Pelodiscus sinensis: one gene and its partners. The protein of the gene in region 1 purifies or fractionates together with the protein of each later gene. This does not show direct contact. Links are inferred from orthologs where the notes say so. Each region holds a gene or a part of one and is shown on either strand. Other genes may lie near its edges.

Evidence for each region.
Region 2: the proteins of FBXL4 (region 1) and BNIP3L purify together in Homo sapiens (affinity purification with western blotting; 4 studies listed by BioGRID, with this or other methods). This does not show direct contact. The link is inferred for Pelodiscus sinensis from reciprocal best matches to the Homo sapiens genes FBXL4 and BNIP3L.
Region 3: the proteins of FBXL4 (region 1) and BNIP3 purify together in Homo sapiens (affinity purification with western blotting; 4 studies listed by BioGRID, with this or other methods). This does not show direct contact. The link is inferred for Pelodiscus sinensis from reciprocal best matches to the Homo sapiens genes FBXL4 and BNIP3.

What each region holds. Positions count from the first base shown.
Region 1 is NC_134713.1:70,077,506-70,087,975, reverse strand, and holds the start of FBXL4 (F-box/LRR-repeat protein 4), read left to right. Parts: upstream 1-6,070; 5' UTR 6,071-6,224; intron 6,225-10,470. UniProt on the Homo sapiens protein: Substrate-recognition component of the mitochondria-localized SCF-FBXL4 ubiquitin E3 ligase complex that plays a role in the restriction of mitophagy by controlling the degradation of BNIP3 and NIX mitophagy receptors.
Region 2 is NC_134738.1:8,839,958-8,850,382, forward strand, and holds the start of BNIP3L (BCL2/adenovirus E1B 19 kDa protein-interacting protein 3-like), read right to left. Parts: upstream 3,777-10,425; 5' UTR 3,659-3,776; coding exon 3,574-3,658; intron 1-3,573.
Region 3 is NC_134718.1:47,394,114-47,404,034, forward strand, and holds the start of BNIP3 (BCL2/adenovirus E1B 19 kDa protein-interacting protein 3), read left to right. Parts: upstream 1-6,119; 5' UTR 6,120-6,436; coding exon 6,437-6,482; intron 6,483-9,921. UniProt on the Homo sapiens protein: Apoptosis-inducing protein that can overcome BCL2 suppression. May play a role in repartitioning calcium between the two major intracellular calcium stores in association with BCL2.

The DNA of each region.
Region 1 (10,470 bases):
TGTTGACCTACTTTAGTAAGTATACTTCTGGTATTTTACCAAAAAAGCTAAATAGCATAGTGAAATGTAAAGCAGATGATCTTTTTCTCTAAAAAAAAATTATAGAAGCAGTATTTGTTCAATACAGTACATAGTTAGTTTTTACATCATCTATCTATAATTTACTTTCCTAACAAACAAATACTTTCAATAGTTAAATACAAAGGGGTCTAAAGTGTTCTATATAGACCCTATTCTGACCTCACACTGCATAAGAATCTCTACTAATATCATTGGGAATTGTATGCATTTATGCAATACCTTCATTAGATTTGGCCTCCCAAATGAAATTGATTCTGATCAGGGCCCCACTTCACCGGGGACCTTATGAAACAACTATTCTTTCCTTTGAACACAGAAGAACAATTTCACATAGCTGGACATCCCCAGGCCTCGGGGTTGAAAAATGAAACTGGGTCATCAAAAACATGTTGAAAAGGCAATTGATGTCCCTGGGGGAAAATTGGGATTCTAAGCTTCCCTTAATTTTGATAGTAGTTTGATGTCCAGTGGCTACTCATGAGGATAAACAAACAGTCCAAAACATGATGATGCTATCTTGTTCCAGTGGAATATCCCAGGTGAACCAGAATGGGATCTGGAAACTGACATGTATACACTGCTCAAGATGTCATGGATGTCCTAGTATGCCCAAATATAGGGAAGACTTTGATGGGATGCAGCTATCTGTAAGTGTTCAACAAAGGTATCTGTACTAATAACCATGCACCCAGGAGATAGGAAATATTTTCCTACAGGAAGATACTAGGGTCAGGTAGAGGGTGATGCGAATTGTCAGGAAATAATTACTTTGAAGAAGATTTCAATCTTGAGAAATAAGATTGCTAGATGTCACCAAGGCCATTATTTGGGATGGATTTAGAGGAGGGCTACCTATAGAGTTAAGAAAAATTATATAGGAACAAACTAATGACTTTGAAAAGGCTTATTTTAGTTGGAGGCAAATAGTCAACTTTACCTATTCAAGAGCCAACAAAACCATAGTCACTTATGTTCTAAATTCATGCTATCAAGGAGTATATTTATCCACTGATCCTCATAGGATAATATTTGGTCCTTATTAATGCCCATGGAAGCTAGCAAATAGGTACATATTACATGTTCCCAGTATCTCACAGTCAACATGCAAGCATATATAGAACAAAAGGGACTAGAACATACCCGTATACAACCAACCTCTGGGAGGAGCATCAAGTGCATCTTAATTCCCACGCAGGTAAATGTAATTTAACTGCTTCACCACTCTTCTCTAATAAGTAATTTTGTTCTAGTACAAATGGAAAAGTATTGTTTCTATGTTAAAAGCTGATGTCCTGTATTTTAGTTAACAGATTTTATACAATTGAACACAGTTGTGGTTATAATTTGTGTATGTGTAAAGTATTCTCAATACAAGGATGCAAAGTTAATATTGCCCTTACATGGTATGTCATCCACCACAAAAAACCAGAATATCTTTTGTATATATATATTTTGAACCAATACACATAGGAGGTGATTTGAAATCATTAAAGCAATTAATGCATCATGAAATATTAGCTCACTCTATCAAACAGTTAAGGGCAGATAGTCTCAAAACTATGCTAAGAGTTCATCATTATATGACTGCAATCCAAAGGGTTCTAAACAGGGTGGAGCAAGAAACTCATACAGCATATGATGTGAAAATATTTTCTACATAACTGGGAAAAATGCATATCTAGCATAGAAAATAATTCTGTATCCAGTTGTAATTTCAATAATCAATAATTTCTGAAGTAAATTTGAATACTCCCTTGTGTGCTCTGCATTGTTAATGCAGATTTCTGCCCCTGTAGGGTTGGAAAATAATCAACTTTGGCCCTATTCTAGTTGAATTTGCCATAGCTTTAAGTTAGCTTTGAATGATTTTACATTTGAAAAACAGGAAGTAAGAAACTGGTTAGGCCCTTGCAATTTGACATTGAGCTCTCACAAGTACAGGCAGTCCCCAACTTACGCAGATCCGACTTATGTCGGATCCGCACTTACGAACGGGGCTTTTCTCGCCCCGGAGCTCACGGGCGGCGGGTCGCCACCTGTGTCCTCCGGGGCGAGAAAAGCTTTTCCCGGTCTCCCTGGTCTGCTGGGGGGGGGGTCCAGCAAAGCCGCTGGACCCCCCAGCAGACCAAGGACACCAGAGCAAAGCCGCTGCCTGGGCGGCTTTGCTCGTTTGCCCGGAAGCAAAGCCGCCCAGGCGGCAGCTTTGCTCTGGTGTCCCTGGTCTGCTGGGGGGGTAGCTCCGGACCAACCCAGCAGCACCCCAGCTGCTCTGCCCCAGGCGTCCCCAAGTCAGCCGCTGCTGAAACTGACCAGCGGCTGACTACAGGAAGCCCGAGGCAGAGTTGCTCTGCCCCAGGCTTCCTGGAATCAGCCGCTGATCAGTTTCAGCAGCAGCTGACTTGGGGATGCCTGGGTTTCTTAAGTTGAATCTGTATGTAAGTCAGAACTGGCATCCAGATTCAGCCGCGGTTGAAACTGATCAGTTTCAGCAGCGGCTGACGCCAGTTCCGACTTACATACAGATTCAACTTAAGAACAAACCTACAGTCCCTATCTTGTTCGTAAACCGGGGACTGCCTGTACTAACACAACCATGAATGCCAGATCACATAGCCATTTGGCATCACACAACTCAGCCACAGGTTTTTCCCTTTGTCACCATGAAAAGTTTACTTCTTTCTTCAGTTTGTAAAACCACATCCGCATATTCCATTAGCTCAGCCATTGCACTTATACTTTATTATTGTTATCACCATAATCTGATTCAAGATTTTTCAATAGCTCTTTAAACTGGGGGCTGCTTAGTCCTTTACTTTTGATAAAGTTAATGCTTGATACTGCAATCGACATTACATTGTTTAGTTGCAAGGACTGAACAGATTCTCTTGATGAATGATGTAATGATACACAATCAACTTACTTGGATCATGTCTAAGATGATCTCTTTCTCTCTTGACTAAGGGAACTAATCCCTTCTGAGATCCAACCATAGCTGGAACCACTCAATTTTTCTAATAATGATTGAAACTTGTGTACTGCTGATGTAACCTTCTCAAAAATGTCTTCACCTTTGGTGGTGTTGTGCATTGATAATAAAGAAAGCAAATCCTCTTGAATCTCAAAACTTGGTGTGATTCCATGCAGAAAATAGCCAGCTGGACTGTACTTATGTCTGTTGTCTCATTAATAGCCAGAGAGAAAAACTCAAGATCAGCCACAGAATCTTTCAGAGACTTTTCAATATCCTGAGCCATATCATAAATTCAATCTGACACTGTCCTGTGAGATAAGCTCACATTCCCAAATAATTTAATTTTCTCTGGCGCCAATAAAGCTGCAATTGCACTGATAGTCTTTTACAAACTCTCCTTCTGAATGAGGCCAAAGGCAAAGGTTGGTTTGTTTGTTTGTTTGTTTTTGCTATAACTGACTTGCATAACATTGCCTGTTTCCTTTCTTGTTTTTGTGAAAATTGGTTGCTGAATATTCAAATTCTTTTAAGTGCTTTAATTTTGTCTGCATATAGCTTTCCTTAAAATTTCTTAATATTTGATATGCTTCATTCTGCAACTTCTTTCTATGTTTGATTTTTTTATAGGAAAAACTTTCTAATTATAAGAATAATCAAGTACCTAAGTAGATAATCTGGGAATTTCACAACCTTCCTATAATTAGAGATTTTTAATAACAGGTTTGATAAGCACCTATTAGGGGGTGTCTAGTATACTTACTTCTGCCTCAGCACAGTGGGATGGACTAGACTTCCAGAGGTGCCCATGAGCCCTTGAGTGTCTCTCATTTCTTCATCTTCTGTGAAAATTACACTAAAACAATACCAAATTCCAAGTCACTGACTTCTGCTCCCAACAGGACCTGTAAAGCCCAAAACTGTGCTGTTGCTCAGCAAAACATTACATTTTTAAATGAAATTCTATATTTTCAATAAGTTTTTAAAAATATAATCAACATAGTAAAGTGTTTTGATATAATGCTAATGCAGGATTGTGTGTGTTTTCAGCATTATTGACAGTGGTAGGAGTTTACAACCTCCTTCACAGCCACTTTTTTCTTCCCCACTGACAACTGAATAGAGGCTATTAACTCAGCCTCTTGTACAAACATGTCCAGGTGAAATTAGGCCTGATCCGTGAAATCAGCTTTATTTTTTGGAGCTTGAGAGATAATACACTAAATCAACTGAACTACTCATTGTGTGAAGTTAAGCATATATGTAAGTATTGTAAATGATCAAAGCCTAAAAAAAAAATCAGTGGTTTTCTATGACAATCTGCAGCCAGGGAAAAATAAGTTTTCATCTCCCTTCATCTCTTTCACCAGAGATGTATCTGGGTTTTCTTCATGCTATCCTTTTTGCATGGAGTTCTCTTGTTACTCTGATTGGTCAACTGCTACTCTCCTATGAAAACTCAAATATTTTATATTGCATTATCGGTAATATTCAGTATATTAACTTTAGTTTTGCATTTTTATTTTCAAAATAAAACCAGCAACATGGACACATGCCTAAACTAAGTGGTTGCATCTAGACTAGCATGATTTTCCGCAAAAGCAGCTACTTTTGCAGAAAAACATGCCAGCTGTCTACACTGGCCGCTTTGAATTTGCGCAAGAACACTGACGATCTAATGTAAGATTGTCAGTGTTCTTCCACAAATACAATGACTCTCCCGTTCGGGAAAAAGCCCTCTTTCGCAATTGCTTTTGCGCAAGAGGGCCAGTGTAGACAACTGAGAACTGTTTTGCACAAAAAAGCCCTGATGGTGAAAATGGAGATCAGGGCTTTCTTGCGCAAAACCGCATCTAGATTGGCATGGACGTTTTTCCGAAAAAAGTGCTTTTGCACAAAAGCATCCATGCCAATCTAGACGCTCTTTTCCACAAATGCTTTTAATGGAAAAACTTTTCTGTTAAAAGCATTTGCGGAAAATCATGCCAGTTTAGACGCAGCCAGTGCGTGTTGGATCACACTGCTGAATGCTAGTCCTTCCCATCACCACCTTCCTTCTTTTCTCCTTTACTTATTCTGTCACATAAAATTAACTTAGCTGAAATAAGGATGATGTCACTCTGTCATCCTGCAGGAAAATTCTGCATATATTTCATTACCCAGGCTGAATAAAAATGATCTTTCATTGGGTTTGCCAGTGGTTTTATAAGAATTGAACAGGAACAGGATTGAACTCTGCAAGTCAGATCAAGGTGTGCTGCAATGCACACTGTTACTGCAGGATTCATACTGCATCACCTCAGAAGGAAATATAATAAAATATTGTTAAATAAAGTAAATTAAATTAGTGCGGTCACTGATACTTTGTGTTAGTTCAATCTAATAATATAATTAGTATTTTTCTGCACTGATAATTCTCTATTTATCAGACGTGTGTGAAGCTGACCAAGTCATTACTCTCTGAAATATGCCAAATCCCCCCTTGAGGAGCAATTACCCCCAGGTTACGGCCCACTGGCTGATACCCGAACAGCGGGTGTTAGACTGTAAATGCCACCAGACTCCTGCTTGGTTTGGCTTTGAAACAGACTAACGGGCTCCCCCTGGACCGAACAGCCTGAGCGCCTTCACGTCATCACCCACGTAAGCGCGAGCAGCCAATCAGCGGGCTAGCCCTCTCTACGGCCCGCTGCCCCCGAGGCCGTGGGAGAACAAGGGGGCAAGGCTGCCTCTCTTCCGGCCTTCGTGACCGGGGAAAAGGGGCGGGGCTGTTTTCCTCGGCAGGCTTCTGTCCACCCTCAGCCCCACGCCCGTTTTCCAACCGCCGCAACGGCAGCAAGTCTTCCCCCTGAGCACACCCGAGCCCCACCCAATCCCGGGGACCGTTATTCTTCGCCCAACCTAAATAACAGTCCCACGGTGCTCCGCCCCCCCTCCTTGCCCGCCCCTTCCTACGTTCACAGAACGTACTGGTGTCATGTCATGGCCCCGCCCACCACGCTCTCCCCTCCCCACCCCGCTACGGCGCGTGATAGCTCCCGTCTTCCTGCTTGGGGCTCCGCCTTCTCTCGCCCTGGGGCTGCCTCGCCCGGCCCCGCCCCGAGTGGTGCCCCCGGCTGTCCGGCGGTGTGGCTGGTGTCAGCGCGCGGCGCGGGTCGCTCCGCCCTGCGGACGGGTACGGTGACTTCTCTTCTCGCGCAGGGCTCAGGCGCCGGTCCCGGCCGTCGGGGACCCCGCCCCTTCCCCCACCGACTGTGCCCGGGGCGGGGACCGGGCCCCTTGGTCAGTGCCGCGCGTGGGCTTTGGGAGCCCTCCCTTGCCTCGCTTTGCCGCCTGGGGCCGGCCGGCCCTGCCTGGAGCGCCCTTCGCCCCCGGCCACCAGGTCTCCGTCCTGAGGCTGCCTGCGCCTGGCCAGCCGTGAGTCCCCAGCCTGCAGCGCAGCTCTGCCCCCTGCGCCGCAACGGGCCCCGCTACGCCCACCTGCCCTAGGTCGTCAGTGACGAGTCCCTTCCCCCCGTCGCCCCTGCGCCTCGCAATGGCTGTCCTAGCTGCGAAACCCGCCTGTTCCCCCTGTGCTGACAGCCTCCCCCGCCGCCCTCCTCTTCATGCCAGTGCTGAACTGTTCCGCCTCCCCCCCCATCTTTCCAGCTGTAAGGTGCCAAACCCACTTCTCTCTTCCTTCCCTTCTTCCGGCTGCCAAACCCACCTATCTCCCTCCTCTCCTCAGCGCCTTCCAGCTGTCAAACCAGGGTTACCGATTTTGATTGGATGAATTATTGGGGATTTCATCATATTACAGTTTTTAAATAAAGATTAATCTTTGTTGAAGAGTCTCCAGGAATTAATCTTGGAGGATTGGCAACCCTAACATCTACCCTTCCTGGTTCCAAACCCCTGCCCTGACCCCAGGGTCCTTCCAGATGTCAAACTCACCTACACCCTTCCATTCTCTTTTCAGCTCCCAATCTCACCTGCACCTCCTAGTGCTGAAGTTCTCCCTTCCCAGTCCTTTCAGCCGCCAAACCTACCTATTTTCCTCACCTCCACTCCTTCAAGCTACCAAACTCACTTTCCCCTTCCAATGCCAATCTGTATCCACCTGCCATATTTATATTCACACACAGCAGTGACAAGTCACCCCATCTTTTCCTCAGGGAAAACTAATCCTTGCATACTGTACATAGTCAAACTTAATGTACTTTCTTCCCCTGATGTGATGTGTCACTTTATCAGACATATGTGCATTCCAGGCAGTTAACAAAATTAGATCACCTCTCCATAACAGACTCCATGGAGAACTAACATGACAAAATGCACATTGTGTTTCTAGTGTTCCAGTGCTAGAATTTCATAAATCTTCATACACAACAGCCATGGGCAGTAGTAAAATGGTTATCTTGATTGCTCAGACTTTGATTTTTTTAAAAAAAATATTACATTGATGCCCGGAGTAAGGATGTTAAAGACTAGTTGACCTCCCCCACTTGCTCCCTCTATCAGATGGAGGCAGCAAAGGGGGGCGCTGCACAGCTGAGCCTAACTCAGCTGTAAGGCTCTGCCGCTTTGAAATGCTGAGATGGTGTTCAAAGGGGCAGCACCTCACAGCTGATCCCCAGCTCAGTTGTGAGGCACTGCCCCTTTGAAACACCGGCTCAGCTGTGAAGTGTTGCCCTTTTGAAATGCTGAGACCCAACTAACCCTGGCTTCTGGGGAAATGCTGTGTGGAGACTGGGATCAACTGGGGAGTCCTAGCTGACCCCAGGCTCCGTGCGGCATTTCAAATTGGCAGTGCAACATGGAGCCTGAGGTCAGCATGGGACTCTTGAGTTCCCCACTGACCCCTAGCTCCATGAGTGCGCTTCCGCTTTGAAATGCACAAGAGCCCCCGCTGGGGACTTGTACGTTTCAAACCCTGCATGCAGCCCGGAGTCAGCAGGACTTCCCACTGGCTCTGGATTACATGTGGTGTTCCGCATTCCTTGCTGGGGCTCTCGTACATTTCAAAGGAGGAATGCAGAAGTACCTATCGATTAATGAAGTAGTCAATTGAAATTCCATCGACTACTTGACTGGTAAAATAACTGCAATTTAACATCTTTAACTCAGAGGTGCTATGTAGGCCCATGTTATTCAGGGTGACAAACAGCTAGTGAAGGACATGCTCTGCTTCAAAGAGCTTGTAAGCGAAGATGGGACAAGGGGCAGAACCTAAGAGAGAGAGGGGGGCTTAGGAGGAAGATGAATTTGACAGTAATAGGGATACAAGATAGTAGATAATAGCATTGTGTATAATTGGACAACTCACACCTTTTTAATTGCTGTAAAATTACTGTAGATCAATGGTCTCCAAACTTTTTCACATGTAATCTATTAGAGCCAGTGCTCAGGAACTGGGGCCACAGCTAGAAACTGGGTTGTGATTGAGTCCAGAGTTGTAACTGGGACTGCAGGCAGAGTCAGGGCTGGCAGTGGAGCTGTGTTGGGTGGCTCCCTTCCCATCACCCGTGGGGGCTGGTTTGGCACCTGCCATGCTTCTCCAAACTTTCTTCCACGTTCCCATAGTGAGCACACCTGACAGTTGTGGGACTACTGTTTTATATTTTAAACTATATGCTTTTTGCTAATATAATATTATAAAAACAGATTTATCCAGTGTAGGTAGTTAGATGAGAATTAGGGATGTAAAATCCCAGTTAATAAGTCAACCTGTTAAATAAACTTTAAAAAACTACAAATAGTCTGGTAGCACTTTAAAGACTAACAAAACATGTAGCTGGTATCATGAGCTTTCATGGGCATAGCCCACTTCTTCAGCTCTGACCCCCTCTTAGAGCCAACACCCTATACCCCATTTTGCATTCTGACATCCCCCCCATGCCAGCCTTGACTCCCCTTCCAAAGCCAACATTTCATACCCCCCTCCTGTCCTCCAAAACTGCGCCCCAGTCCGGAGTGCCCTTCTGCTCCGAAAGTCCCTCCCAATGCTTGCATCCATTACCCCCTGCTGAACCCCAACCTCCTGACCCAGCCTGTTGAAACTCAATGAGAGTAGGGAAAAATGGGGGTGAAGGAGGGAGTAGGGCAAAGTCTTGAGGACTTTGAAGGTTTTTTTGCCAAAGTGACACCCACTTCAAAAATAGTGATGAGCACTGGTGGTTGAGGTAAACATCAGGAGACAGGCTTGGGTTCACATTGGCTAGATAATATATTAACATTCAATTTGTTCTATCTATAGTTGAGTGTTAAAACTTATTTAATGCCAGCTGTCACCTTAATGGGACTATTGTAATGTCGCTGGAGTGGACATCTGTATGCAGCATACAGTACAGGTCCCTCCTTTCATCTTAATAGGAGGAGAGGGTCAATGAATTCAGATGTTTGAAAACAGGGATGTGGTGGAAGTTATATGCTCTGAACAATTTGACACTACAAATTAGTAACCCAAACACTTCTGAATAGTTTTTCCTGTGTTACCTTTAGGATTTTAAGTAGTTAAGATTATCATAATATTGACTGTTAAAATAGTTCTTAGAATGTGTGAAACAGCTGTCTTTTTATGACATATCACAGTATATGAAGTTACATAAATGTTTTCTGAGTTTGGTGTATTTAGCGAGAATCTGTTGTATACTGTTTTTAATATCCGTATGTTGTGTTTATGTCTCTCTGGAATCAGTATAACAGTAGGGAATGTTAGTCTTTGGAGGCTTACAAAACTGATCAAACCTTCAGATTGCTGTCCCTTCCTGCTTCTCCACGTGGGAATGAATGATACGGCCAAGAATGACCTTGATTGGGTTACTGTGGATTACGTAGAGTTGGGAAGAAGGATCAAAGAATTCAGAGTGCAAGTGGTGTTCTCATCCATCCTCCCTGTTGAAGGGAAAGGACTGGATAGGGATCGTTGAGGAAGTAAATGCATGGTTGCGCAGGTGGTGTCGCAGAGAGGGCTTTGGTTTCTTTGACCATGGGACTCTGTTCCAGGCATAAGGATTGTTAGGAAGAGATGGGATCCACCTAACAAAGAGAGGAAGGAGCATCTTGCGGGCAGGCTTCCAAACCTAGTGAGGAGGGCTTTAAACTAGGTTTGTTGGGAGACAGTGACCAAAACCCTGAGAGGAGGGGGAAGTCGGATACTGGGAGGTAATGCAAAGAGGAACGAGCAACAAAGGAGGACCCCTGATTCGAATGCAGAGAGTAGGGTGATCAACTGGTTATCTAAGGTGTTTGTACACCAATACGAGAAGCCTGGGTAACAAACAGGAAGAAATGTAGGCCCTGGCTCAGTTCAAGAACTATGATTTGATTAGGATAACAGAGACTTGGTGGGATGACTCACATGACTGGAGCGCTGTCATGGAAGGGTATAAACCAGCGTTTCCCAAAAAATACCGGGCCTCAGCATGGCTGCCAGGGTGTTC
Region 2 (10,425 bases), on another chromosome or scaffold:
TAATACAACTTCAAAGTGATGGACAAAAGTAATTGCTGGAAATCAGGACTACTCCCTTTTCCTCTGCTTAAAGATCCAAATACGCTGGCTGGCTGTTCTACTGGACCTAGGAGCACCAGCAGCAACATTATATTAGAAAAAATTTGATACTAGATTAACCAAATCAAAATTTTGCTTCTCAGCCCCAAACTAACCTCCCCATATGGTAATATTACTCCCCCATGGGAGAATATTTCATTTAGTCACATTTGTAGCTTGAAGCACCACACCAAGGATGGGTACTTTATTTCTCCTGAAATTTTAACCAATGACCAAAAAGTATGCATTTTGTTAAAAATTGTGTATTTGACATTTCTCTCAAAGAAACTTCAGCACTTTTATTTCAAAAAGCAATGTCATGCACCTTTAAAAATAGTAACTTAGTCAAGCAATTAATACATAGAGTGAGAACTCCGCGGGCTGCTCTTGCAGGAACCCTGCATGATGCCTCACCATCTTCAATGGGAATGTACCCCTGTGCAGTTTACTTGGAAATTAGGACCTAGATGTTTTACATTGAACCCTCTCTTGTTGCTCCTATCTTAGAGACTGAAATCTCCCACACTGTCTTACCACCAATCAGAAAAAGGAAAAAATAAAGTATGGAAAAATATTTGCAAGTCACAGATTAACTAGTTTGAAGTTGGAGAAATAGACATTAGATTTACTTGTACATGCTAAATTTAAGATGAAGTTTTCAAAAAAGTGAAATGAAATTCCATCAATATACATTTCTATATTGTGACATGTTGACTGCACTAAAATCTGGCCAATGTCTTTGCTTTATTTATTTTTGTGAACAGTAATTCAAGGCCAACAAGTCAGAGAAACATACTGCTGTAATTAACATGAGATTCAATGTCACCAGACACAAAATGCAATGGCAATGTCATTATACAGCATAATCTACCCTGATCTAATACATTTCCCACTGAGTTACCACAGATCAATTAGCTGATCCTATTGATATATTTTATGGATAATTTAACAAACTAACACGGAGAGAATGGTTAATTAAAACATTTTGTTTTACCATAGCATCCTTGACATTTAAAAGCAAACCAAAATATACATTAAATGGCTGTGCCTTTGAGATGCAGAACACAATTAAACCAATATGAGATCCTAGATAAAACCACGAATCTTCCACATAAGTATTATCCTAGGAACAAAAGGATGCCGCAAAGCAGCTGACATACATGTGGTATACAGAAGAAAATAGCTCACGTCAGTGATATGGATGGAATAAAATCATTCCCACAGTAAAGCTCCTCCCCACTTCCTTGCTCTTAGAACCAGCCACTAAATAAATTCATTCCCATTACAAAACAAACCTGCTGTATCTCCCCATTACATACCAAATCACTGAATAAACTCACTAAGATCAGAGATTCCTTTACCACCTCCTACATCCACCTTTCCCCACACCTCCTCATCTCATAGTTGTTATTAACCCTGATACTAAAATTCCAATGCCTCTCCTGCATTTGACTCACCCACTATACTTGCATCCTACCCACAACAACATACTGAGTTAAATGTGATTTCCCAGATATCACCTCAACTCAGCCATGCAATTAGCCTAGCCTCAAAACAAGATAACCTCCTGAGCTACACCAGACTAACACGGCTACATTTCTATCACTCCTGCCTATGGTCCCTTTAGCTGCCTCCCATTATGACTGCAGCCAATTCCATCTCCCTTTAACTCCTGAACACTCTCTCCTTCAGTCATCTTCCCGAAGACCCCCAGTCCTTATCTTCACCCCAGAGTACACAATACACTTCCCCTCCTCTGTCCAATATGAAAACCCAGACACACACACACAGCATTCAAAGATCCCCCAACACCATAAGACCTTTCCACCCTTCACACCTTATTCCTCCTCCACAGTCCAGTGTACCCTCCAACCCCTGAGCCCTTACATATTTTCTATTACTCCTCCACACCCTAATGTACACCCAACTCTAGACCACCCCATAGACACTATCCCTCCTCCACACCCCAGCACACACCCCCACAGAGACCCTCCACATTCATCCTTCACACCCAGGTGTTCTTCCCCCACAGCCTAGAGCCCCCCCAGATACCCTGAATCTCCTCCACACCCCAGTGTACCCCGCACCTTCGAGCCCCCCAGATACCCTGAATCTCCTCCTCACCCCAGTGTACCCCGCACCTTCGAGCCCCCCAGATACCCTGAATCTCCTCCTCACCCCAGTGTCCCCCGCACCTTCGAGCCCCCCAGATACCCTGAATCTCCTCCACACCCCAGTGTACCCCGCACCTTCGAGCCCCCCAGATACCCTGAATCTCCTCCTCACCCCAGTGTACCCCGCACCTTCGAGCCCCCCAGATACCCTGAATCTCCTCCTCACCCCAGTGTACCCCGCACCTTCGAGCCCCCCAGATACCCTGAATCTCCTCCTCACCCCAGTGTACCCCGCACCTTCGAGCCCCCCAGATACCCTGAATCTCCTCCTCACCCCAGTGTACCCCGCACCTTCGAGCCCCCCAGATACCCTGAATCTCCTCCTCACCCCAGTGTACCCCGCACCTTCGAGCCCCCCAGATACCCTGAATCTCCTCCACACCCCAGTGTACCCCGCACCTTCGAACCCCCAGATACCCTGAATCTCCTCCACACCCCAGTGTACCCCGCACCTTCGAACCCCCAGATACCCTGAATCTCCTCCTCACCCCAGTGTACCCCGCACCTTCGAACCCCCAGATACCCTGAATCTCCTCCACACCCCAGTGTACCCCGCACCTTCGAGCCCCCCAGATACCCTGAATCTCCTCCACACCCCAGTGTACCCCGCACCTTCGAGCCCCCCAGATACCCTGAATCTCCTCCTCACCCCAGTGTACCCCGCACCTTCGAGCCCCCAGATACCCTGAATCTCCTCCACACCCCAGTGTACCCCACACCTTCGAGCCCCCAGATACCCTGAATCTCCTCCACACCCCAGTGTACCCCACACCTTCGAGCCCCCAGATACCCTGAATCTCCTCCTCACCCCAGTGTACCCCGCACCTTCAAACCCCCAGATACCCTGAATCTCCTCCTCACCCCAGTGTACCCCGCACCTTCGAGCCCCCAGATACCCTGAATCTCCTCCTCACCCCAGTGTACCCCGCACCTTCGAGCCCCCAGATACCCTGAATCTCCTCCTCACCCCAGTGTACCCCGCACCTTCGAGCCCCCCAGATACCCTGAATCTCCTCCTCACCCCAGTGTACCCCACCCTCGAGCCTCCCTCCTGTTCCTCCTCCGCACCCCAATACCCCCCACACCCCATTGCCCCTCAGGCTGCCAGCGTAGCCATAGGAACCCCAACCCCACAGAGCTCCCCCCCCCCATCCGGACGCAGCCGAACCAACTCTCCCCAGCAACCCCACTGGCCCGGAGGCGCTCGCGCGACGCCGCTCTCCGCCAATCCCAGCCGCGAAGAGGGGCGGGGGGGGTCGCGCGGCCCGGGGGCCCTCCTCATTTCCATGCCATTTGCCTATGCTAATAGGCGCGCACTCACTGTTGAGGCCCGGCTCGGCGGGCGCCCCGTCGGCCGGGGGGTTGTTGTTGTTGTGGTGCTGCGGCGGCTCCGGGGGGCAGGACATGGCGGCGCGACGCGGTGGCAACTGAGGAACCTGCGGGGCTGGGACGACAACAACCAGCCGGAGCCCACCTCCTCCTCCCCCCCCCCGCCTCCCGCCGGCTGCGCACGCGCAGCCCGGAGGCACCGCCCCCCTCCGACTTCAGAGGCGGGCGGCGGCTCGCGTCGCCGGACTGCGCAGACGCCGCCCCGCCGGCAGCACGCCATCTGCAGTAAGTGCGCATGCCCTTCCTCGCAGCGCCGCTTGGCCATCGCTGCGCATGCGCCCCCCGCCAACGGCCTCTTTCTTACGCATGTCCCACTGTCAACATTTTCCCCGCCCCGCTCATTTCTCAATACGCATGCGCCTTCTGGGGACCCGCTGTTGACGCTCGTGCGCATGCGCTAGGTTGGCTTGTAGCAGCCCAGATGGAGTCAAGATTCCCATAGAGCTGGGAGGGAACCTCATCCCCTTCCCCCCCCCAACCACACAGCCCAGGGGCCCCCTGCCTCCAAGTCTCTCCTGCCTGTAGCCACCACACTAGCCCTCCTCCCGGGCTCTGAACAGACCCCCTGCTCTGGGCTGGTCTGTAATTTTTTTGTCCCCATCCCAATTTCCCAAGATACGGGGTTCAGAAAAGGGCAACAAAAATGATGAGGGGGTTGGAACGGGTCCCCCATGAAGAGAAATGAAAGAGGGATTTTTCAGTTTAGAAAAGAGGAGACTAAGGGGGGAGTTGATAGAGGTCTATACAATCATGACTGGCGTGGGAAAAGTTATTTACTTATTCCCACAATATAAGAACTGGGGGGGTGGGTGGTCACTAAATGAAAATAATAAGCAGCAGGTTTAAAATCAACAAAAGGACATTTTTCTGCACGCAGGCAACCTCTAGGACTCCTTGCCAAAGGTAGCAGAGGGATAGCCCTGTTCGTCTGAATCTGCAAAAGCGGTGAGGAGCCCTGGGGCACTTTATAGACTAACTGAAGTGTTGGAGTATAAGTTTTCGTGGGCAAAGACCCACTTCGTCAGGTATATGTACATCTGATGAGTAAGGGTAAATTTATACTCCAACACTTCAGTTAGTCTATAAGGTGCCCCAGGACTCCTCACCGCTCTTGCCAAAGGATGCAGTGAAGGCTAGGATTATAATAGGGTTCAAAAAAGAACTAGATAGGTTAATGGAGGTTAGGTCCATCAATGGCTATCAACCAGGATCGGTAGGATGGTACCCCTAGGCTCTGTTTTTCTGGAAGTGACAGAGGAGGGACCACGTGAGGATTACCTGTTGTGATCCCTCCCTCTGGGGCATCTTGTATTGGCCACTTTGGCAGACAGAATACAGTAAACTTCCGATAATCCAGCACCTTTAGGACCCAGGGGGTGCTGGATTATCAAATATGCTAGAGTACCAACAGGGGGGCTATGAGGGATGGGGTCAACGGGGAACTGCGAGGCATAGGAGAGGGCAGCGCTATGGGACCAACCCAGCAGCACCCCAGCTGCTCTGCCCCTAGCTTCCCCAAGTTAGCCGCTGCTGAAACTGACCAGTGGCTGATTTGGGGAAGCCAGGGGCAGAGCAGCTCCAATTGTACGGCTGGCGGAGCACTTCCGGGTTCCAGTTAGTGCCAGACTATCAGAAGCGCTGGACCGCCAGATGTTGGACAATTGGAGTTTTACTGTACTGGGCTAGATGGACCTTGCGTCTGACCGAGTCTGGCCGTTCTTATGTTCAGTGCCCAGACTCTAGAGAAAATAATACAAATAGCAAGTTAATGAAAAGCTTTCAGAGCTGTTCAAAAAGGTCTGGCTACTCTGCTAATGAGCTGGGTAGCATTACATTTCTCCTGAGTGGAAGGACATGCACAGATTAGAGGGCACACTGCCTCAGATCTAACTCCAGCCACTTTCAGAACTAGGGCTGCAACAGTTCCTTAATCCAAGTGCAAAGGGTTAAAGCAGACCTGCATAATCTGTCATGGTGCAGCTCTCCAGGGATGCTCACTTTCCCTTCCCATGAGTAACCTGCTGCCCTTACGAGCATAGAACAGTTTAGGCCCAGTTGTTGAGCATGTTTATTGGAAATCAGGGTTTAAAGGACTGCTACTTTTAAAAGGACTTAGTCTGTAACCGTTGGTTTTTTAACACGCCTACCCCTCTGATGCTTTTAAAAGGACTGTTTAGATGATTCAAAACACACAGACATAAAACGAACATGAACGTCATGAGAAATGGAAAGTAAAAGTGATAACAAAACAGGCGCATATCACCATAATCCACTCTGCCTTTGTGTCTCCGTAAACACACTCAAACCCTTTATTAACCAGGACTTAAAAGAGCAAATAGAACCAGGGAAATTCTCCTTCCAGCCTTTGCCACAGACTTAACTGAAATTAAAAGAGAGACAATAATTCTAATGTTCCACAGGAACCTTTCATTGTGTTAAAAATAGACAGTAATGCTAAATGATCAGAGGGGATAAAACGCCAAACATGTTGTGATTCCTACCTGGGAAATCACAATGCTATGGCATACACCTTTGGCAGACAGCAGAGGGATCTTTTATCTTCCGAGTAGCTTCTGCGCCAATAGCGTATTTTAAATTGATTTCTTGATGTCATTTACAAAGTTGATGGTCTTCCATTTGCCCCAATCCTAGTTACTTTAAGTCCTTACAGGAAGGACTAATGCAGACTGGAGGCTTGGCACTCACTTGGTTTACCCCCAAAAGAGCTGAGTTGACCCAATTATGAATACGTGCTACCAAGGAATCTTAAGCAGTTGGAGACAGTATTGCCAACCCCAAATGCTCAAAAATCATGAATCAGATCATAAGAACGGCCATACTGGGTCAGACCAAAAGTCCATAGAGCCCAGTATCCTGTCTTCCAACAGTAGCCAATGAAGGTCCCCATCATCCCTGCCCATCCTGGTTAACAGCCATAGATGAACCTATCCTCCATCAATTTATCTACAGTAAAATTCCAATAGTCCGGCACTCCTGATAGTCCGGCATCAAAATGGCAAGAGCCTAGTGAGTGAGCTTCGGCAAAAAATGAGTCACAAGGTAACAGCGGCAGCAGCTGAATTGAGCAAAAAGGGTAAAAAAGGCTTAAAAAACTAAAACGTTACAGTATACTGCATGTACAATAAAAAGGGTTAAGAACACTATTTACAGTATATAATGTATACAGTGTGTGTGTGTGTGTGTGTGTGTGTGTGTGTGTGTATATATATATATATATATATATATAAAAAACCATCTTATAGTACCTCCTGATAGTCTGGCATATCTGATAATCCGGCACCACCTAGGTCCCATAGATTATCGGAAGTTTACTGTAGTTCTTTTTTTAACCCTGCTAGTCTTGGCCTTCACAACATCCTCTGTTGAGTGCCCTAGGTCAACTGTGGGCTGTGTGTAGTACTTCCTTTTGTTTTAAATTTGCTATCTATTAATTTCATTTGATGACCTCTAATTCTTGTGTAATGGGAAGACGTACATAACTCTTCTTTATTCACTTTTTCCACACCTAAGATCATGCAATGCCCCTAGTCTGTGTAATCACCATGGTTTGTAAATTGAAAGTGCACCTCTGTATTATCAGAGACAATAGCCAATCCTGAAACACTTGAGTAGCTCTTATCAGAAGAAAACCAAAGCATAACCATTTCCTAGAGAAACCAGTTCCCTCTACTAGCTCTCTACAGGGGGCAGATATTGTGATAATGCAAAATTCCCAAACACAGAGGCAGGAGGACTCTGAGACCAGACACCCAAGATGATGGGCAGGAAAGTAAAAGGGAATGGAATGGCCAGAGACAAAAGCTTTGTGTTTTAACACAGATGGCATGTAACTTACAAATACTAGATGAACCTAGGTGACCCTGACCACACTCAAAATATACTCTGCAGTAGTAAGGAAACGGAGGCAGAGATACGCATGTCACCAATGTCCAGCCTTTCCTCGTCCATTCTTTCATGCAAGTCAATGCTGGACTATTCCATTTTATTACAAGCATATTCTTTCCAGTTTGGGCCAGAATTTTGTTATGGGAAAAGACCAGCACATTTCCATGTAGTTTATTGTTATAGCTCTTTGTATTTTTCCAGCTACTGAAAAGCAGTAGTCTGTTAGTAGCCTGTGTTATATGCTACACCTATCATATGACCCCTCAAAGAAGTGAGCAAGAAGTCTCATGCTGTTAGTGGGATGGGTGTGTTTTAGACATTGAGGGAGCTCCCCAAGTCAGCACAGATTCCAGAATGTGGGCACTGACTCTGTGGTTTAAGCTCTTAGGAAGGGGCTGCACTTTCAGCGAGCATAGAGAACCTATGACTGAGGAAGTGCCTGTATCCCATTCAGACCCTTAAAACACACTGAAGGATTCACCAGCAGGGTGCATTGCTTGCAGTCTGGCGAGCTGCCCCAATAGGCACGTGGGAGGCCAAACTTGGTATAAGGAATTCAGCCAGAGTTCCTGTTGCCATCATGATGTGAGCATGCCAGATCTAATGACTTGCCTTCCCCTCTTTTCCACTAACGGGCTTGTAACAAACTGTAGGGCTACAGGAAATGGCTCCCTCTTTGTAGTATTTGTAATTGGCAAAGAGGGACCTGTCCAGGGCACACTGGCTACCTACCATTATTCTAAACGCATAACAAAGAGATGGTTTCTCCCCCACAGTGGTTGGTCTCACTTTCCCTTGTGGGTCAGGTAGTGCTAAAATATACTGAAGATATTCCTTGAAATTTGCATGCAGTTCGATGTAACAGGTCAAATGGATTTTAATGACAATGGGCAGCCGACAGCTAAAAAAAGCAGCTTAGGGGACCAGATGTCTTGATTTTCTATCAACTGTCCTGACTTTCAGGGGGGTTTCTTATATAGCTGCCTACTACCCGCTATCCCAGTCCTGGTCACCCTAAAGCAGCCAGGGGTGCAGCGCACTAAAATTCCACAGCCTCTGTTGAGCTTGCAAACTAGACCTCTGTGCAGGGCTATTTTTTAAATCCTGCTCTTCCCACTCCCATGATTGGTTCTTGCATTTCCTTTTATTTCACTCCCAGCTGCAAAAAGCCATAGCTCCAACAAGAGAGATTCGTCCATGCCACTAAAAAAGCCAGTGAATGTATGTGTACGCACCTATGTGCCCATGTGTGTGTAGTTTATGTAAATGGGTAAACAGAACTTAAGTTTTTACCACTGAAACAAATCATACTTAAATCCTGTAAAATATTTTAACTCACTGTAAGACACAAGGGGGGATATGATAGAGGTCTATACAATCATGACTGGTGTGGAAAAAGTGAATAATGAAAAGTTATTTACTTCTTCCCACAATATAAGAACTGGGGAGGGGGGGTCACCCAATGAAATTAATAGGCAGCAGGTTTAAAACAAATAAAAGGAAGTTTTTCTTCACTTAGCACATAGTCAACCTGTGGAACTTCTTGCCAGAGAATGCAGTGAAGGCTAGAACTTGAACAGGGTTCAAAAAAAGAGCTAGATTTATGGAGGTTAGGTCCACCAATGGCTATTAGCTAGGATGGGTAGGAATGGTGTCCCTAGCCTCTGTTTCTCTGGAGGTGGATGACAGGGGTGGGATCACATGAGGATTACCTGTTGTGTTCCCTCCCTCGGGGGCATCTGCTATTGGCCACTGTCAGCAGACAGGATACAGGGCAGAATGGACCTTTTGTCTGACCAAGGATGGCCATTACGTTCTTAAGAATCAAATCTATTTCTTGATAAAGATGTAAGTATTAAAACCTTTATTTTAAAAAAAAGAAAATCTTGCTTTACATTGCTGAAATGCTGTTTATGGCAAACTGATGGGATTTAGCCTTTTCCAGCCAATTGTCTGTCTGTTGATTGGCCCACCCAATCCTGCCCACAAAAACTTTTACCTGCTCCTGCTATAACAGCAATGGGTCCTGAGTTCAGTTGCAGGGCTCTGTTGCGAAGTACCGATCCACTAGGATGGGAAACCTAATTATTGAATCCCTCTGCACTCTTGCTTGCTCTCGCTCCTAGGAAACATTAATTAGCCTCCTGGCAGAGGATACCAAATAAAACAAGCAAGCATTGCATCAGAAAAATTCTCTGCAAGCACTTTCCTCCCCATTTTAAAGGAGCCGTGAATTGTTTTTGAAAGCATGAAGGACTTTTCAAACTCAAGTGGGAGAGCAGACTGTGGATGAAAAGGCTGTACATGGATTTATGCTGTGGAAGAAAGAGCCAATGAACTGGGAAGCAGCAGTTTGAGTTGATCTCTGATTTATATTGTTTGCCAATAGAGTTTTTTTCCCACTTCTCTTGTTCCAGCCACTGCTTCAAAAAGCTTTTATCTGTTACCCCTTTGTGTTCATACATAAAAACATGAATTTTCCTATGCCCAGGTAAAAGGGAACTTTCTGTGAGTGAATATGCATGACAAGTTCAAGGCACTAGTGGACACCAATAGAAATACCTTCAATAAACTAAAGGCAACTCACATGAATCAGCCCGTGGACATGTCTTCTATTGCTCAATTAGACAGATGGGTGTGTTTGGAGCAGAGAACGTACGTGCCTTCTGTGCATCGTCACGTACCACGGATGTGATTAGTCCTCAGTAATCACACCTTATAATGGGCAAATCCAATTTCTAAGAATAGACACATTAAAACTAGGACATGTGACTTTGCAAAATTCGGAACCCCCTAATAAAATATTCCAGAATAAGTCACATACCCCCAAATATCCAAAACAATTGTGTGTCAAATTTGGAAACTTCCCCCTTTTCAG
Region 3 (9,921 bases), on another chromosome or scaffold:
TAGCGTGGCCTTTTTTCTGAAAGATTTTCTAGTATTTCTAACATTAGTGTGGTCAGGGTTCTATTAGTTTTCGGTGTTGTGATCACTGCTTGGGGATATCTACACATCAGGGTTGAAGCCAAAATAAGTTACGCAACTTGAGCTACGTCAACTGCATAGCTTAAGTCAAAATAGCTTATTTTGGCTTTTGGCGCAGTCTACACAGCAGGAAGTCCGAGAAAGAGCACTCTTCTTCCGACTTCCTTTACTCCTCAAAAATGAGGGTTACAGAAATCTGAGTAAGAAATCCTCCAGCTTGATATTATTTTGACATTGTGTCAAAATAACTGCTTGCAGTGTAGAAGCGGACTATGTTATTTCAGAATAACACTGCTGTGTAGATGTACCCTTTGATTTAAACCTGCACACTGCAATTTCACACAATAGGCTTGTAAAATGTGAGCAGGTCTTGGTGCCTTCTCTACACCAATGCTTCCATTATTGCTACCACCTAGTCAAGGTGAAACATTTTTCAGAAAAAAAGATAGTTATAGTCAGGGCTTGACAAGTGGCGGCGAGCCCCGCTTGCCAGCCACGCAGTTTGGCACGCTGCGCATGTGCAGACCGTGCTGCGCATGCGCTGATCACGCTGCGGCACTGTGCCGGGCTAAAATCTACTCGCCACCGGCGAGTAGATTGCCCTAATTGTTGAGCCCTGGTTACATTGGTGCCTTCTTCAACCCCGTTAGAAAACAAGATGACTCTACCAGTCATCATGAATTTATATTAATCAGGTTGAAATTCCACTATTAAATGTGGAAATACATTATCTAAAACTGTTACTAAAACTCATCTGTTTCTGTTTTGGAAGCTCACACTCAATCTAGTCAAAGATGATTTCCACTGAAGGCACTATATATAGGTCACCAACTTCTCAGATTCAAAGACACTGAAGATGACTTCACTGAGACTGATTAATCTCTGTATTTTATCCTAAATATGGGTACTCTGTTCTTTTGGATAATGGTTTGAAAAAGATGCCGGTCAATAAAATGAATACTGTAGTGGATCTTGATTTGGCTTAAATATTACTGAGAACAGAGCTTTGTTCATGAAGTTTAGTGGTCTGCTTCTATCAAAACATTCCCTATACATCCCCTTGTATTTTAAAAAATGCAACCAAATGATCCAAGGGGGAGCAATGGGCAGTTTATTAGGACCCAGTGCTTTTTTCCAAAGCAAAGACATCAGTTAGATCACAGATTGTTTGACTTCCCTTTTCCCATTAGTGAGCCTATGTGAGGTATTAGGGCCTGATCCAAAGCCTAAAATCTATTAAAAGATTTCACGTGCCTGAGATCTATTAATTTAATGGAAGAGCAGTTTATGGTTATGAATAATTATTTATATTGCATGAATGATCACAGGTCCTAACCTAAATTTGGATTGGTGTCTCATTATACTAGGACATGCAGAAACACACGGAAGGATCTAATCCTTGCCTCAGAGCTGACAATCTAATGAGACTTGCTAAAATGAGTCACACTAATGGAAGCTTATTATTTATGATTCATATTAATTGGAAGCTTGCTTTGTCCCCATGTCTATTATCCCTTAGAAACAGAAGAGGTCTGATTTGGCTCTTAACATTTACAAAGTCAATCCAATTCTCTTGTCATGAAGATTGCTTTTTCAGTTTCCTAGGAATAACAGTGAAGCAGTTCAGCATCTGGCTCTCCTAAATTTGTCAAGGGTTTTTCTTTCCCCCTTCCCCTTTTTAATTGTTTGAGTAAGCAGTTAAAAAGCCTCTTACGAAAGCCTTCAAGGCTTCATCACACACCTTGAGTCACGTGTCCTGTGCAAATGGCTTCTTTGAAAACATAAATATGGGAGCTGATAGCCAGTAAACAGCTCTCCATAGGGGATAGTGGCATGCACTTTGGGAATATATGTAAACTGACTAACACCGCTATTGCTATCAGACAAGAGTCTGGGTTATTTTTCAGAGTCTGTTTTATGAAGTTTACTGTAGGGTATCTAACAGGCATGTCTAAATTGGGTGGAGGCTTATCCATGGTAGAGAAAACACAGTGTTTTAGATTAGGTGGTGCTCTCTGCACATCTACTAACTCTAATTCAGCTATAATAGATACAGATACGGTCTATTTTCATGGTCTATAGCATCCTGAGAATATTACCTTTTTTCCCACTTGAACATCATGACAGAAATTAAAGTCACCAAAGTAATCATTATAATACATTTGTGGCCTAGCTCTAAAAATGACTTTTTGAGCAATACATAATTTCAGAACCTAGCATTATCATTACAGTACACGTATTTGCTCTTTCATTCTTTCACCATCTTGCAACATTTTAAAATCACCATATCGTTATTATGAGGAAAAGGTTCAGAAAAGGGCAACAAAAATGATAAGGGGTTTGGAATGGGTCCCATATGAAGAGAGATTAAAAAGTCTGGGACTTGTCAGTTTAGAAAGGAGGAGACTAAGGGGGGATATGATAGAGGTTTATAAAATCATGACTGGCGTGGAAAAGGTGAATAAGGAAAAGTTATTTACTTATTCCTACAATAAAAGAACGAGGGGTCACCAAATGAAATTAATAGGCAGCAGGTTTAAAAAAAACAGAATGAAGAAAAACTTCCTTTAGCATACAGTCAACCTGTGGAACTTTAACAGACTTTAACAGACTTTAACAGGGTTAAAAAAAGAACTAGATAGATTCATGGAGGTTAGGTCCATCAATGGCTATTAGCCAGGATGAGTAGGAATGGTGTCCCTAGCCTCTGTTTGTCTCTAAATAGGTGACAGGAGAGGGATCATGTGAGGATTACCTCTGGGGCATCTGGTGTTGGCCACTGTTGGCAGACAGGATACTGGGCTAGATGGACCTGTGATCTGACCCAGTATGACTGTTCTTATGTTATGTTCTTAATCTTTTCCTCCAACATTTCCTATCTTTGGCTTCTGCTGATAATTTGTACTTTCTACGGGTGTCTTATAGGTGACAAGCAAAATATAGTAATTGACCCTCTTTTGTCTGAGGTAGGTCTTACCTTGAGCCCATGTAAGCAATCATGCACAGAGACTTGTTCCTTTTGATAGCCAGGGCAGCCACACTATAAATCCTGGAGGCAAGTGCAATAAATATTTCTAGTATCAATGCAATATAGAATCATAGAACTGAAAGCATCTTACCTCACAAGGTCATCAAGTCCAGACCCCTGCACTCATGGCAGGACCAAACACCATCTAAACTATCCCTGCCAGGTGTTTGTCTAATCTGCTACTGGTTTAGTCATCCTTGTGTATATTCCCCCAAGAATGACACATCAGGAGTCACATAAAAAGGAACTTTACTCCCAGTCTAGAAGAGATAAAAGATGTAAGAAAGGAGATAAAAGGCAGCGGTTAGTTAGCACATTGACTACTTCAGTTAAAGGGGTACACTAAACTGCATTAAGAAATATATGAAGAAATAATAATGTGGGTGTATAAATACAAATTAAGAATTCTAATATCTGATTGGTCAGAATTAATTCTTTCAGTCTACAAATCATCTAATTCTCATAGCCTACATGGTCTTGTAGGTCAGGGAAGTCAACAGCTTCTGCATGCCCCTGGGCAAGGTGTGGGGTGTGGGGAGGACTGGCTCTGTGTCCCCAGAAGGGGCAGGGCCTCAGGTGGAAGGGACAGGGCTGAGGGTAGCCTGCACAAAGCACCCCCTTTTTTCTCCACTCATCTGAGGAAGTGGGTTTTGCCCACGAAAGCTCATGATACTTTCTCTCTTTTTCTAAATTGCTAGTCTCTCATGGTATGGCTACACTGAATTCCTCTTTCAAGAGAATGCATGCATCTGAGTGAAATTGCAAATGAAGCATGGATTTGAATTTCCTGTGCTTCATTTGCATAATGGCTTCCAGGCACTTTTTCAAAATACCCTATTTTGAAAGAAAAAACGCAGTCTAGATGGAGTTATTTAGAGAAAAAAACCTTCTTTCAAAATAACTCTTACGCCTTAAAAAATGAGGTTTAAGGATTATTTCGAAAGAAGGATTTTTTTTAAATAGCCCCCGTCTAGACTGCGTTTTTTTTCTTTCGAAATACGGTATTTCAAAAAAGCGCCCGGAAGCAATTATGCAAATAAAGTGCAGGAAATTCAAATCCACACTTTATTTGCCATTTTGCTCGGATGTATTTGCATTCCTCTCTGAAAAGAGGAATGCAGTGAAGACATACCCTAAGGTGCTACAGGACTAGCACCAACTAGTTATCAACTAACATGGCTACCCTTCTGAAATTTATAAAGCCATTAGTTACTGTCATTTATTGAATAGCAAGGGATATAATCCCATGGTTTACTAATTAAAATGTTTCAAAAAATAGGTCACTGTTTTTTTAAAAAGTGAGCAAGTCAACAGCATGAATTGTTCCTTATGTCATTAAGAAATGCACGTAACCATTACATTTATATTGCATCAGCTCAAAAGGCCCTATATACAAGTGATAAAGTATAAGTTAAGACAGTTCTTATTTTTCCCATGAAAGATCATATGGAATTTAAGAGTAAATGATAATCTTTTTTAGGTTTCTGAACACCCTTGCTATAGAAGTTAATAAGATGGTAAAAAACCTACACCGTTGAGTCCTGACTGGTCCCATATCAAAGAATCTGCCAGACCAGGGGAAGTCAATGCTGACTCCTCTGCAGCTGCTAGCTGCAGGCCCTCAGCTGTCAGCAGCAGCAGAGCGGCCTGCACTGAGGGAGTGGGGACTTAGGGAGCCGGTGCTCAAGAGAAGAGGCAGGGCGCAGATGAAGAGTTTGAGTGTGAGGCCAGCTTTTCCTCATGAGTGCTCCAGCCTGGGAGCACCCACAGGGATGCTGGGCCACAGATGTTGTCGGCCTATAGACTATTGAGGTCCAACCTGTATTACACTTTATAGGATTTTGAAATAATGTGTATAGAACCCTATAGGTTTCATCTCTACTAAACTCAATAGAGCTTTTCCAAAATGTTATTGGGTTTTATAGTTAAATCTATTTTAAAATAGAAGAGCTTGTTAAAAGCAGTAGTTTTAAGTCAGACATTTAATTTTAAAATAATTTTTATTTTTAACTGGTCTTGGATTTTCTGAAAACAATTTCAGAGGATTGTACTAGGAAAATGAATGGAGCAGCCTTGAAGTGATGTACCTATGTTTCTAATTCTGCCATGCAACACAAGAGTGTTTTCATAGCTATGCAGTGGCAAAATTCTTATGACATTGAAATGTGTGCTTACAGAGTGTTGGATCTACTTATACGAACCCCTTTTACCACCAAGAAAATGTTGAAAGAGAAAGTTTAAAAATTATATGTAGAATAGTATTTAGCAAAGATGGCTCAAAAGCAATTTACCACAAACTGATATTTGACTGTGGCCCTCCTGGTCAGAAATGTCTGGTTGTAGCAAAGATAATTCTTGCAGCAACCAAGAGTCCTCCTCCCTCCCCACCCCAACCCCCATTGCTATAGTAAACCAACCTCCGTGAGAGGAAATAGCTGGACTGTCAAAATAATTTTTCTATTGACTAACATTGTATAAAACGTGGGTTAGGTTGGTATATTTTTCACAACCGAGGTAGCTAGACTGATCCACGTTTTGGATGTAATACAAGGCTTACAGACGGTGTCTAAAAGCCACTACAATTAGTAAACAGTAGGGAAACACTTCTAGCCACACCGGTCAGTAACAAGTTGCACAGCAAGTGAAGGAATGAATACGTGATCCTGACAGTGCTGGAAAATGATGTCATGAGCCTCGGCGTAGAAATCAATGCACATTAGTGAACGTGGGAACTGAACATTTTGTCCCTCATTTCCCACCCAATCTGAAATGAGGCCAACTTAGTGTCCAATGCAAACTAGCCATGGCTTGATATCTTTTTAGCCAATCAGGAGTGAGTTCTGACTTTGGCGCTTCCTGATCAGGGCCAGCTGGTGGGGGGCCGGGGAAGCGTTAAAAGCCAATGTGCAAAAGCCGGGTGCTCCGTAACAGCTTAGTAACAGCCTTGCCCCATGTTGCAATGAAAGAAGAGGCGCCACTAGGCCCCAGAGGGCAGTAGCCGCTCGGAGACATCCAGGCTTTGAGCTTGTTCCCAGCAGGTCGCGGGCAGCCCGTGCACCCGCAAGCGCTACAGGAGCAAAAGGGGAGGAATGTGATGACAGCCAATCAGGGTGGCCCGTTCCCTCGAGACGTCATACTCCCCAGCAAGCCCCAGAACCTGCAGTAGCAATAACAATAACAGAGCCTGTCAGCTGCTGGCCACTGATCCGCCCGCCCTGCGTACTTGGCCGCAGTCAGCAGCTGCAGCAGCAGCGGCCCCCGCCAGCCGCGTCGGGACGCGAGAAGCGCAGGCTGAAAATAGCAGCGCCTGCCCCGAAGAAGCCGGAGACAATGTCGCAGGGCGAGGGACTCAGCCAGCCGGAGGAGAATTTGCACGGTAAGAGCCCCCCTTACTAGCCAGGGTTAGGCCCCTAGTGCAGGCCCCCTAAGGGAAGCGCCCCACCCCCATTCCATCAGCCTGCGGGGACCTCACCACTGGCTGTCCGGAATGGGAGCTGTTTGGGACTCCGGTTCCCTTTGTTGATAGCCCGTGACGCCTTCGCAAGACAAGATCTGCTGTTAGGCGCAATAAATAACCCTGCAGTAAACACGACACTTGACAAGCAGGGGGTAGACTGCCCCTGCCAGCGCTGGTAAATGGATGGTGATCGGTCCTTCATGCGCCAGGACTGTCGTTGAATCCAAGTAGTGTGGGATTGCGTACGGGCTTTATTGTACCTTGTCTGGAGCTAGGGTTAATGTGAGCAATTTAGAAATCACAGTCAATGAGGTATCTCGTTACACGCGCCGCCTTTCCCCACCCCCATGCAGTGAGGTTGCCATTAGCAGCAATCCAGTTATCACAAACATGGCAGGTACACTTACGGTTTCATGGATGGCTAGCTGTGGGATTAAGAAAGAAAAGCACCTTCTTGCCAGCTCCCTGATATAATTGATGTTCCTTAGACCTGAAACTCCATGGGACAGATGTGATGGATTTGGGTCGTTTTGGAAGCACCCTATTTTTTGTTGTTGGAAATAAATAATAAACATCTTTTTATGTTCAGATTTACCTATTCTAGTTTGACATATCCCCCCAGCAAACCATAATCCTTTGGCTGAATATATTTTTCTTTCACAACAGAGGAATGGAAGAATGAGAGATAGGATTTTAATAAATAAGCGTGTTTTACCATGGGTGACAAAAAATGAAATCAGGGCTTATATTTGCCATACTTAAAAATATTGAAATCAGTTTGCAGAAGATATTTTATGAATTCTCCCTTATTCACCTCAAATTGGGGAATGCAGGTATTTCCTGCATACTTTGCAGATTTGAAAATAAAGATCAAAAAGTCTAGCTTACATTCCCAAATCTTCTCTATGATTTCACTGTGTGTCAATGTGAAAGACAGAGAGGTGTGGTTATTTAATTGCCTAAACTATATATAATGCCAGTTATTTTACCTTGTCATTTTAAGGGTTAGAAGTTTTGCACGTAGCAAAACCACAAGATGGTGTTTCATAACTCTCTCAGCCCTGGAAGATTTAAAAAAAAAAGATTCAGATGGTCTTATTTCTCTATCACTGATATGTACAGATAAGACACACATATCATAAAGGGACTTAGCCTGATATGTCTTTTCCTCACCTGGTGGTTGGAAAGGTAATAATGGTAAACATTATACATAAATATTTGTGTGCGCACCACATTTGGACTGGAACATTAAGACAAGTTTGCATGATAAGCTCATGATTACATTTGGGATATAAATATACAGTTTCCTTTGGAAGTAAGGTTCAATTTTATGTATTTTAATTTTATAGTATTTCTGGTAGGAGATTCTCAAGGCTCATGAAGAGAGACAGACAGCTGCTTCTCTATCAGGGAAGTCAAGGCTGGCTCAATGTCTTGGTGACCAAAAAGTGAACATAATTCTGAATAGGAATGGAACACATTTAAAAAAGCACTGAAATCTAAATCACACAGCCGCACACCAACAAGAGAGAGCTAGATTAGGATAGAGTTTCAAGAGACGTGCACTCTCGTAAAGAACAGAATGTGTTATTTGCGAGACAAAAAGTACTAAGTCAGAGGTAAGAGGTTATGCATTCAGATGTGATCTAGTGTAATTGCACATGCTCCTTGTATTTGGAATGTTGGAAGTGCAAAGGAGTTTGTTGAGGAGCTGAGGAATAAGACAACCGTCAAAGCATGTGAAGGACAGTTGTTTTAAATGGGGACTTCACTGATATTTGAGATAAGAGAGAGAGAGGGACTGGCATTCTGTGCACACTGAATTTTGTCTGCTCTCAGAGCAATTTGTCATTTCAGACATCAGAATTTTATGCAAATGTTCTGTGGCAGTGACTAACATTGGAAGTATTGCACTAAAGATATTCACAGATCCAATAATATCCCACTAATTATTCCATCTTTGGCTTGTCTCATGCTAGCCTTTATTTTTGTGTAATATTGCCTAGTCCAGTGCACCAGTCAGTCTTATTTTTTTTCCCTTCAAGTGCCTACCCATAACTCATTCCACTCAGGTTGCCTTCCAGCTCTCAACCTCTCCTACCTACATATCTGTTTATGTTCCTGTTTTTTTATTAAACATCAGCCTTCAGTATCTAATCACTATTGCAAGAGCTCACTTACAGTAATCTATCTATAACACCAATCACTAAAAGATCCAATATACAAAGTCATAATCAGGGACTGTGTTTAGTTGACATGTGAAGCAGTTTTGAATGGCTGTGGAATTGTATAAATAGGAAATCGATGAGAGCTGGAACTTTGATAATTTTAACACTTATCAGCACTGGCCATTATCCAAAGTTTTGCCTGTACAGCACATACAGATTAGGTCCAGATCTCTTGCATCATGAGAGAACAATGTTAGAACATGTAGTGTGATCTTGTTCAAAGAGTAAATGATGGAACTATGATCTAACTCAGTTGCAACAGAAGGCTCCTAACACTTGTATATGTAGTGTAGATGGGCCCTTAAAGGTGGCACTAATAAATCAACTCCTAGATGTTAGCACAACATGGCAGTAGAGCAAACAGTGAATTACTTGTGTTTTTTCACTTGTTTAAGATGGCTTAATGTAGCTGTCAGCGCTGTTCCTCATTCTGGCACTCCAAGTGCAGAAGGTGTCGGCCTGCAAGAGACATTAAATAACTTCCCTCTGTAGGCTCTGCTTACAAAAACTTCCCAGAGTCACAGATTTACTGATTTTGAGGGGTAGCTGCCACTACCAAGTAAAACAAATCCCTTTCTTCTTGATCCCAGGAAAAAAGCACTTGGACTTCCTTCCCGAGTACCCCATGCTTCTCTGCCACAAGAGAGCTTGAAAAAAAGAAACAAAAGAAAACCAACTGTGTCTTTGATAGCTGACCTCTCAAGATAGGCAGACACACACACAGACACCCTCTTTCTTTCCAGGACACAACAAATCGCCTTAAAAAAGGTGATTTTATTAACAAAACAAAAAGATATATTTAGTAAAGCATACTTGGTTACTAGGTGTTACAGAGCAATGAGTAAAACAAATTAAAACACAGAGAACACCTCTGATATGCTCTTAGTGAATGGGGGAGGGAAGGAATAGATTCTCACAGAGAAGTTTAACCAAAGAACCCAAGCAATAAAAATGTCCTAATTGTGACTAAATACACATTTTCCCTTTATTTACTCATGACCATTTTCTGGTTCAGTCCACTTACATGCCCTGAATTCCTTGTAGGCATGGCAATTCTGATTACTGCCTGTTAGATGTCTAGCCCTTAACTTAGAAGTCACACAAAGAAAGAGCAGACCAGGTATCTATAT